Linked DNA regions of Saccharomyces cerevisiae S288C. The gene in region 1 interacts genetically with each later gene. Each region holds a gene or a part of one and is shown in the gene's direction. Other genes may lie near its edges.

The links. A genetic interaction does not mean that the proteins touch.
Region 2: mutations in PEF1 (region 1) and QRI1 together harm fitness more than expected from each alone (negative genetic interaction), as found in Saccharomyces cerevisiae (2 studies listed by BioGRID).
Region 3: mutations in PEF1 (region 1) and SRP101 together harm fitness more than expected from each alone (negative genetic interaction), as found in Saccharomyces cerevisiae (2 studies listed by BioGRID).

The regions. Positions count from the first base shown.
Region 1 is NC_001139.9:601,340-609,584, forward strand, and holds PEF1 (Pef1p), read left to right. Parts: upstream 1-4,796; coding exon 4,797-5,804; downstream 5,805-8,245. Other genes in the region: RSC subunit protein RSC1, read left to right, coding at 322-3,108; LST7 (Lst7p), read right to left, coding at 3,434-4,162; septin SPR3, read left to right, coding at 6,224-7,762. UniProt on the Saccharomyces cerevisiae protein: Calcium-binding protein that is required for polar bud growth and cell wall abscission. Can also bind zinc ions.
Region 2 is NC_001136.10:273,962-278,538, reverse strand, and holds QRI1 (UDP-N-acetylglucosamine diphosphorylase), read left to right. Parts: upstream 1-1,957; coding exon 1,958-3,391; downstream 3,392-4,577. Other genes in the region: DNA-directed DNA polymerase delta POL3, read right to left, coding at 1-1,667; QRI7 (putative N(6)-L-threonylcarbamoyladenine synthase), read left to right, coding at 3,663-4,577. UniProt on the Saccharomyces cerevisiae protein: UDP-N-acetylglucosamine pyrophosphorylase that utilizes N-acetylglucosamine-1-phosphate as substrate. Together with AGM1, is involved in the production of UDP-N-acetylglucosamine from N-acetylglucosamine-6-phosphate.
Region 3 is NC_001136.10:1,041,960-1,046,653, reverse strand, and holds SRP101 (signal recognition particle receptor subunit alpha), read left to right. Parts: upstream 1-1,642; coding exon 1,643-3,508; downstream 3,509-4,694. Other genes in the region: mRNA-binding translational repressor SSD1, read left to right, coding at 1-1,014; HRQ1 (ATP-dependent 3'-5' DNA helicase), read right to left, coding at 3,693-4,694. UniProt on the Saccharomyces cerevisiae protein: Component of the SRP (signal recognition particle) receptor (SR). Ensures, in conjunction with the signal recognition particle, the correct targeting of the nascent secretory proteins to the endoplasmic reticulum membrane system.

The DNA.
Region 1 (8,245 bases):
AGAAAAAGCAATATCATGAATTGCTGATGAGATAGATTCAAATTGGAATTAACTAAATCTATCAGCAACGCTATAAACACAGATAAGCGCTCTATAAAATCGTTTGTCTAACGTTTTATATAGTTCTTTATTGCTCCCTTACCCTCTTTCCGTCAATAGTGATTGTTGTCTCGGGAAAGCTTTTTTTTTTATTAATCAAAGGCCCAATTGAGTTACAACTGAAATTAAGCTGAGTTGGCGGAACAGTGTGGTATTAGCGAAGGGAAAATCTGTGAAGTGCCCTAGCTACAAAACAGAGATAAAAAAAATTATATTTCAAGCATGGTGGAGCAAGATAATGGGTTTTTACAGAAGCTACTCAAAACACAATACGATGCTGTCTTCCATTTAAAGGATGAAAATGGTATAGAAATATATCCAATATTCAATGTACTGCCACCTAAAAAAGAATATCCAGACTATTACATTATAATAAGGAATCCGATATCTTTAAACACTTTAAAGAAACGATTGCCCCATTATACATCGCCACAAGATTTTGTTAACGATTTTGCGCAAATTCCTTGGAATGCAATGACATACAATGCAAAAGATTCAGTAATTTACAAATATGCCATTCTTCTTGAGTCTTTTATTAAAGGAAAGATCGTGCACAATATAAGAAAACATTATCCCGAGGTGACATATCCATCTCTAGGTCGAATTCCGGAAATATTCGCAGAGAGTATGCAACCCTCCGATTTATCCTCGAACCCCATTAATACACAGGAAAATGATGAAAAGGCTGGCTTAAATCCAGAGATGAAAATGGCTTTCGCAAAACTAGATAGTTCGATCACTGAAAGGAAACCAACCAACCAAGATTACAGGATGCAACAAAAAAACTCACCAGCGTTTCCAACCCATTCTGCTTCTATAACACCGCAGCCGCTGGCTTCACCTACTCCAGTTGTTAACTATGCAAATATTACCTCGGCGCATCCCAAAACCCATGTTAGACGCGGTAGACCACCAGTAATTGATCTACCCTATGTACTGAGGATTAAGAATATCTTGAAGATGATGAGAAGAGAGGTCGACCAAAATAATAAGACGCTTACCCTCTGTTTTGAAAAACTACCAGATAGAAACGAGGAGCCAACCTATTACTCTGTCATAACAGATCCCATTTGTCTAATGGATATTAGGAAAAAGGTTAAGTCCAGAAAATATAGAAATTTCCATACTTTTGAGGAAGACTTTCAATTAATGCTAACAAATTTTAAGCTTTATTATTCTCAAGATCAGAGCAATATAATACGAGCTCAACTATTGGAGAAAAACTTCAATAGATTAGTGCGAATTGAATTATCCAAACCTGATGAAGACTATTTACCTGAAGGTGAATTAAGATATCCTCTAGATGATGTAGAAATCAATGATGAGAAATACCAGATAGGTGATTGGGTTCTTTTACATAATCCAAACGACATCAATAAACCCATTGTTGGCCAGATTTTTAGATTATGGTCTACTACAGATGGAAACAAATGGTTGAATGCTTGCTGGTATTTTAGGCCAGAACAAACCGTTCATCGGGTGGATAGGTTATTCTACAAGAATGAGGTCATGAAAACTGGTCAATATAGAGATCATCCTATTCAGGATATTAAGGGAAAGTGCTACGTTATTCATTTTACCAGATTCCAGCGTGGGGATCCTAGCACGAAAGTCAATGGTCCTCAATTTGTTTGCGAATTCCGTTATAATGAAAGTGATAAGGTTTTCAACAAAATCAGGACTTGGAAAGCTTGCCTGCCGGAAGAACTCCGTGACCAAGATGAGCCTACGATACCTGTTAATGGAAGAAAATTTTTTAAATACCCTTCTCCAATAGCAGATTTGTTACCAGCAAACGCAACTCTAAATGACAAAGTTCCAGAACCCACGGAGGGAGCCCCAACTGCCCCACCTTTGGTAGGCGCTGTATATTTAGGCCCCAAATTAGAGAGGGATGATCTGGGAGAGTATTCAACTTCTGATGACTGCCCTCGATACATAATCAGACCAAATGATCCACCAGAAGAAGGTAAAATAGATTACGAAACAGGAACAATAATTACAGATACCTTAACCACAAGCAGTATGCCCAGAGTGAACAGTTCCTCCACAATACGTTTACCCACTTTAAAGCAGACTAAATCAATTCCCAGCTCCAATTTCAGGTCCTCATCAAATACTCCACTATTGCATCAGAACTTCAATCAGACTTCCAATTTTTTGAAATTAGAAAACATGAATAATAGTTCTCATAATTTACTATCACATCCTTCCGTTCCTAAGTTTCAATCGCCCTCTTTATTAGAACAGAGTAGTCGCTCTAAATACCATAGTGCAAAAAAACAGACACAGCTATCATCAACAGCTCCCAAAAAGCCTGCATCTAAAAGTTTTACATTATCCTCAATGATTAATACCTTAACTGCTCATACCTCGAAGTACAACTTCAACCATATTGTTATTGAAGCCCCGGGTGCATTTGTGGTTCCTGTACCAATGGAAAAAAATATAAGAACCATCCAATCGACAGAACGTTTCAGTAGATCAAATCTAAAAAACGCTCAAAATCTCGGTAATACTGCTATTAATGACATAAATACTGCAAATGAGCAAATAATATGGTTCAAAGGGCCCGGTGTAAAAATCACAGAGAGAGTTATTGATTCCGGAAATGATTTAGTACGGGTACCTTTGAATAGATGGTTCTGTAAAAACAAAAGGAGAAAACTGGATTACGAAGACATTGAAGAAGATGTTATGGAACCACCAAATGACTTCAGCGAAGATATGATTGCTAATATTTTTAATCCTCCGCCGAGCTTGAATTTAGATATGGATTTAAATCTAAGCCCATCCTCGAATAACTCTTCTAATTTCATGGATTTAAGCACAATTGCAAGCGGTGATAACGATGGGAAAGAATGCGATACGGCGGAGGAGAGTGAAGACGAAAACGAAGATACAGAAGACGAGCACGAAATTGAAGATATCCCGACCACGTCTGCTTTTGGCTTAAATTCTTCCGCTGAATACCTTGCATTCAGATTACGAGAATTTAATAAATTATGACCATGATAAATTCACCACATGTATCTATATATGTTCATGCATATACCATATATATTTTGTTATTCATACGATAGACCTCAATCGTTTTGTTGCCTTTCAAAACGCACAATTGTAAACCTAGCTTACTATTTATCTATCGCGGTCCAGAATGGCTTTCCTTTTTAAATTCATCCCAGAAGCCACGTCGGAGTAAAGTATTCGGCCTTGATGACTATTTCGAATCGAAATGAAAGAATAAAAGGAACTAGGAGGTTGTTCCAACAATTTTCCATGCCGTAATTTCATCGGTTATTAGGTTACCAGCATTTATCTCAGTTTATTTGAGTCAAGGTAATTTATTTTCATTCATTACTGTATGGAGTAAAAATGAATTCCATTTATGTATTCGCACGAAGAGAAATTTATCATCCGTCAGAGACACCAAATTACGGCCGAATTTAGATTTGTTTGCACGTAAATATGAGCCAATGAAAGCGTTATTATTCAATGTTTCCAAATTGTTTTCCACCGTTTTATTTTTCCCCAAGAATTCGCTTTTATGAATGTTTTTAATATATGCAATCATTTTATCAAATCCACCGATGATAAAGTTCCAGTGTTCACTCAACATTTTCATAGAATCGTCATGGCTTCTGGAATCGACTGTTAAAATAAAACAATATCTTCTTTCATTGCCTCTAGCATTTTCATCATACAGTTTAAAGCCTATAACTAAGTTCAATCCTCTAAGATCATCAAAAAATATAAAAGGCATATTATCATAAATCATTGTTTCTTCAGAAAAGGCTCTTTTAATAATAGAATTTAGCAATTGGTATCTTATAGAAGAATATTGGGTAGTTATAAACGGAACATCTTCGATGAAGCACCGCATCGATCTAGTTGACTCTTCAGGAAACTGTAAAAGACATGATTCGCAATATGATTCAGTTGGATAATCAGGCACTAGTAATTCTTCACCTAGCGTTCCCTTTTCTGCGGATTGTGTAACTGATATGATCCTTGGGCCATGCTTGTCGCAGAAATGAGCCAATGAAATCACTGTCGAGGACATTCTATGCATCTATTTCATCAACCATTTAAACGCTAACTTATTTTATGGAGGTGCTAGTTAGTTGGACTTTATTGCTTCATTTATCGTTTGATGGTCATCGAATAGAAGATTCCTAAGCCCTTTTCTTTTTACTCAAGATTTTCTTTTTCAAGCGTGTTTTTTCTGGCAAGTACGAAAACGGCATCTTCGAACTTGGCGAATGAACAATCGGTTTGGTTCAACATTTCCAAGAACAACTACAACATACTATCAGTGTTACTTTCAAAAGTCTTTTAATACATTTGAAATGATATTCAGTGGAAGTGGAATGAAATAGGCCACAGTGAATAGGCCACGATACACACAGCATGTGTCATGCTCAATACCTTGCACCTGAATCTATATAATCTTGTAGTTCACCATTATATACATAACTCAGAAGAAGAAAACAATACGCATATTGGATAGTGCTCCATCGCTTTTAACAACTGATAATTTCAGTCATCTGGCTCAGGGTCTTGTCGATTTTTTTTATTTAGAAACTATCCGAATAAAAAAACCGCAGGAATACAAAGCGATGGGAATTGCTATTTCACTGAACATGTATGTATACCGTATACCGCATAAAATAACTATAAACCTACACCATTAAACGATGTGTGCAAAGAAGCTCAAATACGCTGCTGGCGATGACTTTGTACGCTATGCTACACCTAAAGAGGCCATGGAGGAAACTAGACGTGAATTCGAGAAAGAGAAACAACGACAGCAACAAATAAAGGTTACTCAAGCACAAACTCCCAACACTAGAGTCCACTCAGCTCCAATTCCCTTACAAACTCAATATAACAAAAACAGAGCAGAAAACGGTCACCACTCCTATGGTTCTCCCCAAAGTTATTCTCCAAGACATACGAAAACACCTGTGGATCCTAGATATAATGTTATCGCACAGAAACCAGCAGGCAGGCCTATACCTCCAGCGCCAACCCATTATAACAACTTGAACACTTCCGCTCAACGGATAGCTTCCTCTCCTCCTCCCCTAATTCACAATCAAGCAGTGCCTGCACAACTCTTGAAGAAAGTTGCACCTGCTTCGTTCGATAGCAGAGAAGATGTACGAGACATGCAAGTGGCCACACAGCTATTTCATAACCATGATGTAAAGGGCAAAAACCGACTGACAGCTGAGGAACTACAGAACTTACTACAAAACGACGACAACTCCCATTTTTGTATATCATCAGTAGATGCGCTGATAAATTTATTTGGTGCTTCCAGGTTTGGCACTGTCAACCAGGCAGAATTCATCGCCCTATACAAAAGAGTGAAAAGTTGGAGAAAAGTTTATGTGGACAATGATATCAACGGATCGCTCACCATTTCTGTAAGCGAATTTCATAACTCACTTCAAGAACTAGGATATCTAATACCTTTTGAAGTTAGCGAGAAAACATTTGACCAATATGCTGAGTTTATAAACAGAAATGGAACAGGAAAAGAACTAAAGTTTGATAAATTCGTTGAGGCGTTAGTTTGGCTAATGAGATTAACAAAATTATTCAGGAAATTCGATACTAATCAAGAAGGCATTGCAACCATACAGTACAAAGATTTTATCGATGCTACATTATATTTAGGTCGTTTCCTACCTCATTGATGAAAACCATTCGTTCTTTCTGGTCGTAATACAAATAGAAGAGGTAAACCAATCAATGGCCCGTTAGTTTGCCATTTGCTGCATCCTTCCCATGCAAAGTGTCTTCGTATTTAGTGATGTTTTGTTAGCGACACAAAAGAGACCTCGATGACAGACATTTTTTTTTCTTTACTTAATGTATTATAAGTGTGTCTGACCTCGACTATCATTATAATATTAATTTGAAGTTCTATTTTACATTTATATGAGTTATTCCATTACATAATAAGGATATCAAGAGCAGATTAGTGTCTTTTAGATTATACATCTTTTTCCCCCCTTTTTTGTTGTTGGTAGTGGAAAGAAAAGGATCAATTAACAGAAATAAATAAATAAATAATAAAAACCTAAAATTCCTTTTGCGTCATTGAATTTTTATTATGAAGTCAAAAGGGAGTCGGTTGTCAACAGACTGTCCTGTCGAATTTCCCAAGATAGTCTCTGGATTCGCTGAGGAAGTGAAAATACGTAGACAAAGTTCCCAAGGACAGTACGCCGTCGATTCACATCCTCCGAAAAGCCCTGAACTGAAACACAGAAGACAGAGGTCATCCTCTTTTGTTAACGGTAAATGCAGGAACAGGGACCTTCCATTGTTAGATAACAAGAAAGCACAAGAAATAAACACCAATTCACACGGCCAAGACATCGGTATCAAAAACTTACCACGTCAACGTGAGTTGTTGAATGCCAAAAATGGAATTGATTTTACGCTGATGGTGGCGGGTCAAAGTGGATTGGGTAAAACCACGTTTATCAATTCCTTATTTTCTACTTCTTTAATTGATGATGACATCAAAGAAAACAAACCTATTATTCGTTATAAAAGCATTGTAGAAGGAGATGGAACACACCTTAATTTCAACGTCATCGATACACCTGGTTTTGGTAACAATATGGATAATGCATTTACGTGGAGGACAATGGTTAACTATATTGATGAAGAAATAAGATCGTACATTTTCCAAGAAGAACAACCTGATAGGACAAAAATGGTTGATAATAGAGTCCATTGTTGTTTGTACTTTCTGAGACCTTCAAATAAGGGAATTGATACTTTAGACGTCGTAACAATGAAAAAATTAGCGAAGAGAGTGAATTTAATCCCGGTTATTGCTAAATCAGATTTGCTAACGAAAGAGGAATTGAAAAACTTCAAAACACAAGTTAGAGAAATAATAAGAGTACAAGATATCCCTGTATGTTTCTTTTTCGGCGATGAAGTTTTGAATGCAACACAAGATATTTTTCAAAAATATCCATTCAGTATAATTGCATCTAATGAGTACATTTTTAATGAAAAGGGCGAAAAAGTTAAAGGAAGACAATACAAATGGGGCGCTGTTGACATTGAAAATGAAAAGTACTGTGACTTCAAAATCTTGCAAAAGACGATTTTTGATTGGAATTTAATTGATCTTGTAGAAAGTACCGAGGATTATTATGAAAAATGCAGATCTGAAATGCTAAGAACTAGGCTATTAAAGGCCAGAGATTGCTTAACAACGAAAAGTGTTGACATAACGGAAGAACAAAGGAAATTTTTGGAGGAAGAAATGAACTTCGATGAAATCGAGGAAAACAAACTCAAAAATTACAAGTGCTATGAAATAATTAATAAAACGGTCATGGATAAGGTGGCTACAGAATGGGATCCTGAATTTATAACTAGACAATTAGAAGCTAAGAAAAAATTCAACGAGCTGTCCAACAGAGAAATTTCAAAATTTCGAGACTGGAAAAAGAGCCTATTCATGGAACAAGAGAATTTTAACCAAGAGATTGAACAATTGAATCACAAGTTGGAAAACTTACAACTGGAATGTCAGGACTTGGAATACAAGCTGTTAATCGGAAAAAGTTCCAACAGCCATTCCACAGATAGTGCTACTTTAGTAAACGTTCACATCAAAAGGTAGTATTAATTAAAAAAAAAAAAAAGCCAATAATTTCGCGCAAGCTTTGCTCTACATAATAAAAATACAATTAGGATAGAAATGAATATTTTTTTAGCGGCAGTTTTACCATAAGTAGCAAAACCCTAACAATACAATGTGAGACTAAAGTAAATCCGGGTAATACAAAATACAATTTTTTTTTATTCTTCACAGCGTTTTTTCGACGGAGGAGGGAAAAAAAAAAATTGTATTTAAGGCATCAAATGCGCGACATCATATACCTTTGTCCGCTGTTATCATACCTTGAACCTCTACATTTCAGCCTAGCGCGCGCAAAAAGAAAAAAAAATCATAAGCAAGAGTGGTACGGTAACCACAAGGCAATGCAAAGAAGGGTGCGATATCAAGTGATGTTACCTTCCTTTACTTTTTGCCTTTTTCTTGAATTGTCAATCCGCCCTTTTTTTCTTTTCAGTTTTTTCTCCTTTCATCCGTCTCGTTTAT
Region 2 (4,577 bases), on another chromosome or scaffold:
TGACCACGAGCTAGTAAATATGAAAATGGCACACCTGTAACACGAGCCATTTCTGTATAGTTAACTAACGCCATTAGTTTTTCCATAAGCCTTAAAGGCAGGTAGGCGTCTTTCAAACAGTAAACGGCCAACCTTCTTCTTGTTTCACTATCGCCATTTTGTAGATCAGAAATGATGCTATAATGTACATCCTCCTTCTGTTCACCTAAAAAGTGCGCAGAGACTGCATTCAACGTGTAGGATCTTAGTTTATACTCACGCTGAATAAATTGCAAAAGATCCAACTGTAATCGGCCGTCAATATTGACATTTTTGGTTTCTCTTGTACCATAAGCCTTCGAAGAGAACACAGACTCTTTAATTTCTTGCTTAACGGTTTTTAACCTTCCAAAATATGGGAAATCATTCACCTTTAGCGCCTTTGCACGGTTTAAAAGATAAGGGATATCAAAATTTGTAGTATTATAACCAATGATAACATCAGGATCAACTTTGATGATAAAGTTACGCCAATTGCTCAACATTTCCTCTTCAGTGGCGTGGGAAAAAATCATTGAACCTGTTATGGGTGAGCATGTATTCAGAGTAAACACATTACGAATGAATGGTTTCTTAGCGCCAGCAATACTCACAACGTTGGCAATTTGGATGACGGGATCGTATTCAGGTTCCGGAAAGACGCCAATCCTACCAGCACACTCGATATCAAAGGACATGATACGCAATGGAGCTGTATGAGACCAATCACCCTCAGCAGGATGTGCTATTAGGTTACGATAATTAATTGAAACTTCCAACTGACAAGAGGAAACTCTGTTATTAGGCTCAATCATCGAATACTTTCCTTTTGGTAATGTTATCCAGGACATACCGACAATTCCACAATCTACCATTAACCTTAAAGTGTAGGCAATGTTATCATAAGTAGTCGTGCCGTTAGAAAACCACGAGTTGAATGAAAGATGACCTCTTTCAAACGCAGTACGCAGTTTGTTGACCATATGCGGATAGGTGACGTATATTTTCCAGAATGGTAATTTGGTATCTCCGGAATAACCCCAGATAGACTGTTTAGATACAACTTCAATCGAATCAATAGCGTGGTCAAATGTTTCGTTTAAATAGTGCACAAACTTGTTGATTTGCTCCTGATCGTTAGCGTCGGAAGAATTGGGCGCTGGGACGTAAAGATAGTTCTTGAACCCTGTAACATTACAAAGTACAGAGTGTCCTTCACTAGTGACACCAAAAAACCTTACCACGGTAGATGTATTTTCATCTTTGATACCATTCAGTACGCTCTGTTCCGCATCAATTTGTTGGAAAGAAATATCATACAAACTTGGGTCAAAATCGGTTGGAAGTTTCTTACGCTCGAATGATGACAGGTCATGCTCTTCTTGGTCGGCCATATCATGTTCCATTTGCGATAGCTCTTGTTCAAAAGTAGACTCTAATTGCGTACCCATTAAATCTGTATCCTTTGCTTTGAAGCCTTGACTATTATATTTTCGAAAAGAATCACTCGGAATAATCTCTATTGTTGAAACAGGTTCACTTCCAACACCATGATCTATTGATTGCCGTTTGATTTTCTTTTCCAACTGGGGAGTATCCTCGTCATCGATCTTCACATCAACCATGGGAAGGGATCTTTTTTCACTCATTGCTGTGCGTATATGTATAAAGATTAATGCTTAATAGCAAGTGCTCAATATCTATTTTCCTTTATCCTTGAAAATTGCCTTAGATCAGTAGTACTGAGTGTTTGTTCTTCATAAGCGAATAGCAGATGTCCTCATTGAACATTTTATAGAATAAAAAGTTACGCGTAATACGAAAAATTGCCTATTACGTTAAGGCATACTTTTACCACACAAAACCAAGATCAACCGTCAAGCAAGAACGCTGCAAAGAAACGCAGATATAAAGGAGAACACCAGATCGAACTGCAACTATGACTGACACAAAACAGCTATTCATTGAAGCCGGACAAAGTCAACTTTTCCACAATTGGGAAAGCTTGTCTCGCAAAGACCAAGAAGAATTGCTTTCAAACCTGGAGCAAATATCTTCCAAGAGGTCCCCTGCAAAACTACTGGAAGACTGTCAAAATGCTATTAAATTCTCACTAGCTAACTCTTCTAAGGATACTGGCGTCGAAATTTCACCATTGCCCCCTACTTCGTACGAGTCGCTTATTGGCAACAGTAAGAAAGAAAATGAATACTGGCGTTTAGGCCTTGAAGCTATTGGCAAGGGTGAAGTCGCAGTGATTTTAATGGCTGGCGGACAAGGTACGCGGTTAGGATCCTCTCAACCAAAGGGCTGTTACGACATTGGATTGCCTTCTAAGAAATCTCTTTTTCAAATTCAAGCTGAAAAGTTGATCAGGTTGCAAGATATGGTAAAGGACAAAAAGGTAGAAATTCCTTGGTATATTATGACATCAGGCCCCACTAGAGCGGCTACTGAGGCATACTTTCAAGAACACAATTATTTTGGCTTGAATAAAGAACAAATTACGTTCTTCAACCAGGGAACCCTGCCTGCCTTTGATTTAACCGGGAAGCATTTCCTAATGAAAGACCCAGTAAACCTATCTCAATCACCAGATGGAAATGGTGGACTCTACCGTGCCATCAAGGAAAACAAGTTGAACGAAGACTTTGATAGGAGAGGAATCAAGCATGTTTACATGTACTGTGTCGATAATGTCCTATCTAAAATCGCAGACCCTGTATTTATTGGTTTTGCCATCAAGCATGGCTTCGAACTGGCCACCAAAGCCGTTAGAAAGAGAGATGCGCATGAATCAGTTGGGTTAATTGCTACTAAAAACGAGAAACCATGTGTCATAGAATATTCTGAAATTTCCAATGAATTGGCTGAAGCAAAGGATAAAGATGGCTTATTAAAACTACGCGCAGGCAACATTGTAAATCATTATTACCTAGTGGATTTACTAAAACGTGATTTGGATCAGTGGTGTGAGAATATGCCATATCACATTGCGAAGAAGAAAATTCCAGCTTATGATAGTGTTACCGGCAAGTACACTAAGCCTACCGAACCAAACGGTATAAAATTAGAGCAATTCATATTTGATGTCTTTGACACTGTACCACTGAACAAGTTTGGGTGCTTAGAAGTAGATAGATGCAAAGAATTTTCACCTTTAAAAAACGGTCCTGGTTCTAAGAACGATAATCCTGAGACCAGCAGACTAGCATATTTGAAACTAGGAACCTCGTGGTTGGAAGATGCAGGCGCTATTGTAAAAGATGGGGTACTAGTCGAAGTTTCCAGCAAATTGAGTTATGCAGGTGAAAATCTATCCCAGTTCAAAGGTAAAGTCTTTGACAGAAGTGGTATAGTATTAGAAAAATAACTGTTTGAGCTACTTATGAAGCACTTTTAACATGTAATTGAAAAGTACTCGTAATTGTGATTCAATATATATAATAAAATATTTCGTACTCTGAAAAATAGCTAAATTACTTGTTTTATGTAATTTCTATTTGGCGGATCCGCTCTGCCAATGGAAAGAGTGGCATCTTCATTGCGCGATGATTAATTGACAATGAAATTAAAGCAAACAGCGATTCTCAAGCTCTGAAATAAGTAGAGTAGAAGAAAGGATAGAAACTTTTTTTTTCATTATGATATCAATAAAAGGAACCGGAAGATTTCTCCTCGATAACTATAGAATTTGGCAGAGGCGTGCATTCAACAGACCAATACAGTTAAGAAAAGGCTATAAAGTTTTAGCCATTGAGACTTCTTGCGATGATACATGCGTTTCAGTTTTGGACAGGTTCTCAAAAAGTGCAGCTCCTAATGTGCTAGCCAATTTGAAAGATACTTTAGATAGTATTGACGAAGGAGGTATTATACCAACAAAGGCTCATATCCATCACCAAGCTCGGATAGGACCCTTAACCGAAAGAGCCCTGATAGAAAGCAATGCGAGAGAAGGAATTGATCTCATATGTGTTACAAGAGGCCCTGGTATGCCTGGTTCATTATCAGGAGGATTAGATTTTGCAAAAGGTTTAGCTGTTGCCTGGAACAAACCACTGATTGGTGTGCATCACATGCTGGGACACTTGCTGATACCAAGAATGGGTACAAATGGAAAAGTGCCTCAATTTCCCTTTGTTAGCCTGCTGGTTAGTGGTGGTCATACTACGTTTGTTTTGTCACGAGCAATTGACGATCACGAAATATTATGTGATACTATCGATATTGCAGTGGGTGACTCATTAGATAAATGTGGCAGAGAGCTTGGATTCAAGGGAACAATGATCGCTAGAGAAATGGAGAAATTTATTAATCAAGATATTAACGACCAAGATTTTGCTTTAAAACTAGAAATGCCCAGTCCGTTAAAAAACAGCGCTAGTAAAAGAAACATGCTTTCGTTTTCGTTTTCAGCATTTATCACAGCATTAAGAACTAATTTGACAAAACTAGGTAAAACAGAAATCCAGGAACTGCCAGAACGCGAAATACGGTCAATTGCATATCAAGTACAGGAATCTGTTTTCGACCATATAATAAATAAACTGAAGCAC
Region 3 (4,694 bases), on another chromosome or scaffold:
CCCATTGCAACCAAGATGGCGTCATTTAGAAAGAAAATTCAAAATTTTGGTTACAATTTTGATACCAATACGGCGGATGAATTAATCAAAGGGGTGCTAAAAATTAAAGATGACGATGTTAGAGTCGGAATTGAAATTTTACTGTTTAAAACCATGCCAAGAGCTAGATACTTTATTGCTGGCAAAGTAGACCCGGACCAATATGGGCATTATGCCTTGAACCTACCTATCTACACACATTTCACAGCGCCAATGAGAAGATACGCTGATCATGTCGTTCATAGGCAATTAAAGGCCGTTATCCACGATACTCCATACACCGAAGATATGGAAGCTTTGAAGATTACCTCCGAATATTGTAATTTTAAAAAGGACTGTGCTTATCAAGCACAGGAACAAGCAATTCATCTATTGTTGTGTAAAACAATCAACGACATGGGAAATACTACAGGACAATTATTAACAATGGCTACTGTCTTACAAGTTTACGAGTCCTCCTTTGATGTATTTATTCCAGAATTTGGTATTGAAAAGAGAGTTCATGGAGATCAACTACCTTTGATCAAAGCTGAGTTTGATGGTACCAATCGTGTCTTGGAATTGCATTGGCAGCCCGGCGTAGATAGTGCAACTTTTATACCAGCAGATGAAAAAAATCCAAAATCCTATAGAAATTCCATTAAGAACAAATTCAGATCCACAGCCGCTGAGATTGCGAATATTGAACTAGATAAAGAAGCGGAATCTGAACCATTGATCAGCGATCCATTGAGTAAGGAACTCAGCGATTTGCATCTAACAGTACCAAATTTAAGGCTACCATCTGCAAGCGACAACAAGCAAAATGCTTTAGAAAAATTCATTTCTACTACTGAAACCAGAATTGAAAATGATAACTATATACAAGAAATACATGAATTGCAAAAGATTCCTATTCTATTGAGAGCTGAGGTGGGGATGGCTTTGCCATGTTTAACCGTCCGTGCATTAAATCCATTCATGAAGAGGGTATAATCTCTTCTACCAATATCGTCATTGCTGTTTTTCTTGTTTTTCACTTTCGTTCTTTGGATTGTGCTTCACCCCTCAGTATCCCTTCCCTTTGTTTTTATTTCCTGCGAACATTAACAACTGCATGAATTTTGTACTTCTCCTTTTAATCCACGTTCCGGTAAGGCATCATCCAAATTTTTTTATTCGACCTCGTTAAGTCATATATTTTTTCCCAAAAATACATAAAACAATAATGCAGCCTTCTTTTCAATATTTACAACTTTTCAATTTATATTGTCTTTTGTTATTTATACTCTTATATATTAAATTTATTCCGTTACTAAATACCCTTTTGCTGTACAAATATCATCAAAGAGAAGTACTGAAAGCTTACTTTTTATGCGCTGGGTAATTTTTCCGGAAACAATAACGAAATCATCGTCGAGCAATTTTGCTCGTACTTCAGAAACTACTGCGTAAACATTTGAGGTCGTACAATAAGTAGATAGAAATAAATAAACCAATTTTTCGTCAGCGTTTAATCTGTAGCCAAAGATTTGTGGTATTCTCACAGTTTGAATAATATTCAGCTACTTCATCAAGTAGTTTTTTTCAATAGGAGATTCACGGTTCAATAAGTGCATTGATTATGTTCGACCAATTAGCAGTCTTTACCCCTCAAGGTCAAGTACTTTACCAATATAACTGTTTAGGAAAAAAGTTTTCTGAAATACAAATTAACAGCTTTATATCCCAGCTGATTACTTCCCCAGTAACTAGAAAAGAAAGTGTTGCAAACGCAAATACAGACGGATTTGATTTCAATCTTTTAACAATCAACAGCGAACACAAAAATTCTCCTTCATTTAATGCACTATTTTATTTGAATAAGCAACCAGAATTGTATTTCGTAGTGACTTTTGCCGAGCAGACTTTAGAGCTTAATCAAGAAACTCAACAAACACTTGCACTGGTGTTAAAACTCTGGAACTCATTGCATTTAAGTGAATCCATTCTAAAAAATCGTCAGGGCCAAAACGAAAAGAACAAGCATAACTACGTCGATATTCTTCAGGGAATTGAAGACGACCTGAAGAAATTTGAGCAATATTTTAGGATAAAATATGAAGAGTCAATAAAACAAGACCATATCAATCCAGATAATTTTACCAAAAATGGATCAGTACCCCAATCGCATAATAAAAATACCAAGAAAAAATTGAGGGATACAAAAGGTAAGAAGCAATCTACAGGAAATGTTGGTAGTGGGAGAAAGTGGGGCCGTGATGGTGGCATGCTTGATGAAATGAATCATGAAGATGCAGCCAAATTAGATTTCTCATCATCCAACAGCCACAATAGTAGCCAAGTAGCTCTAGACTCCACTATTAATAAAGATTCTTTTGGGGATAGAACAGAAGGAGGCGATTTCTTAATCAAAGAAATTGATGATCTTTTGTCTTCTCATAAAGACGAGATAACTAGTGGGAACGAAGCTAAAAATTCTGGATACGTCAGTACAGCTTTTGGATTCCTTCAAAAACACGTTCTAGGTAACAAAACGATCAATGAAAGTGATTTGAAATCTGTATTAGAGAAGTTAACACAACAATTGATAACCAAAAATGTAGCACCAGAGGCAGCAGACTATTTAACACAGCAAGTCTCACATGATCTTGTAGGCTCAAAAACTGCAAATTGGACCAGTGTTGAGAATACTGCTCGTGAATCTTTAACAAAAGCATTAACTCAAATATTAACGCCTGGTGTATCCGTTGATCTCCTCCGTGAAATTCAGAGCAAAAGAAGCAAAAAGGATGAAGAAGGTAAATGTGATCCCTATGTGTTCTCTATAGTTGGTGTTAATGGTGTTGGTAAGTCAACAAATCTTTCAAAGCTAGCGTTTTGGTTACTGCAAAATAATTTCAAGGTCTTAATTGTTGCTTGTGATACGTTTAGGTCTGGTGCAGTTGAGCAACTAAGGGTCCATGTTGAAAATTTGGCACAGCTAATGGATGATTCACACGTTCGTGGCTCCAAGAACAAAAGGGGTAAAACTGGTAATGACTACGTTGAACTATTTGAAGCTGGTTATGGTGGATCTGACTTGGTAACCAAAATTGCAAAGCAAGCCATCAAATATTCTCGTGATCAAAACTTCGATATAGTGTTAATGGATACTGCCGGGAGAAGGCATAATGATCCTACTTTAATGTCGCCATTGAAGTCTTTCGCTGACCAAGCCAAGCCAGATAAAATCATTATGGTTGGAGAGGCTTTAGTAGGTACTGATTCTGTCCAGCAAGCCAAAAATTTTAATGATGCCTTCGGAAAGGGAAGAAATCTTGACTTCTTTATTATCTCCAAGTGTGACACAGTTGGTGAAATGCTGGGTACTATGGTAAATATGGTTTATGCTACGGGGATTCCTATCTTATTCGTTGGCGTGGGACAAACCTATACCGATTTGAGGACATTAAGCGTAAAATGGGCTGTTAATACATTAATGTCTTAAAAACTGTAATATCATAGTATATATATATATACCACAGACAATGTTATTCAACAATAATAAAGTGTCTTTTTTTCTGTGCATCAACAAGGTGACAGAATGTTGATGTAACTTCTTTCCACCAAGTGAATCTACAAGTAGTAGAATAGAGTATTTATATTCGGTTTACAAACTACAAATAGCGTGCTCATATCTCTTTTTTAATGATTTCATTTGTATGAGTATCGTCTTTCGTAGCTCTTCTAACGTCAATAATCTTAAAATCATCTGAAAAGTTGACATGCTCTGACACAGGAATAACAGTCTCTACTTTTATCTCTGGCATATTTGGCTCTGGACCATCTTTGATAAGATCTATAAAACTATCTTCCGAGTGACCTAGAATACAATGCAAAACGACTTGGGCGCCAGGTTTCGACAGGACCAGGCTGTTTTCCTTACAAAAAGAAGCCGCTACACAGTCAGGACATCCATCGCTGCATGGGCATTCTTCTATTCTTCTTAAACTAGACTCTATAATATCATCAATATGCTCAAACGCTTTAACACACAAGCCAGACCCGTACTTACCGCCCTTGGAATCATAGAATATTAATCTAGCTGGTCGCTTTCGTTTAGTTTGACGTTCTGCAAATTCCTTTTCCGGAGCTTTGCATTCAGTTTGTATTTCATCCACACCCGCCACTATAAATCGCGGTAACATACCCATAATTGCATGTTGCGCCCCGTGAATAGCTCCTGCTACATTTAATTGCTTCTTTTGGCAAATTTCTAAGGCATATTTTGGCATATCTATCCATAATCCTTTAGAATTGATTATTACAGGAGGGTTATGGGTTTCGATGGCATCGATGATCCTCTTGTACTTGTCTACTTTAAAAAAGCCAAATACAATAATTGTAGTCTTGATCTTACCAAAGTAAACAGGAACATCACTATTCCTTAAAGAGCGTATAAGTTCAATTTCCTGTGGATCTACATCTGTAAAGTCTCTTTGGTTGGTTACCCAGTCAACATCTACTCTTTGCACTTTAGCATATCTTTCATCAGGATTAAACTCCTTCACAAGGTAGGGATAGCCTTGGTGAATGAATATACCGCCATCATATAAAGTAAAACTAGTCCTGGATGCTTCTATTTCCTCAATTATTATATTTCTTCCATTTGTTATATCCACTACGGCAAATTG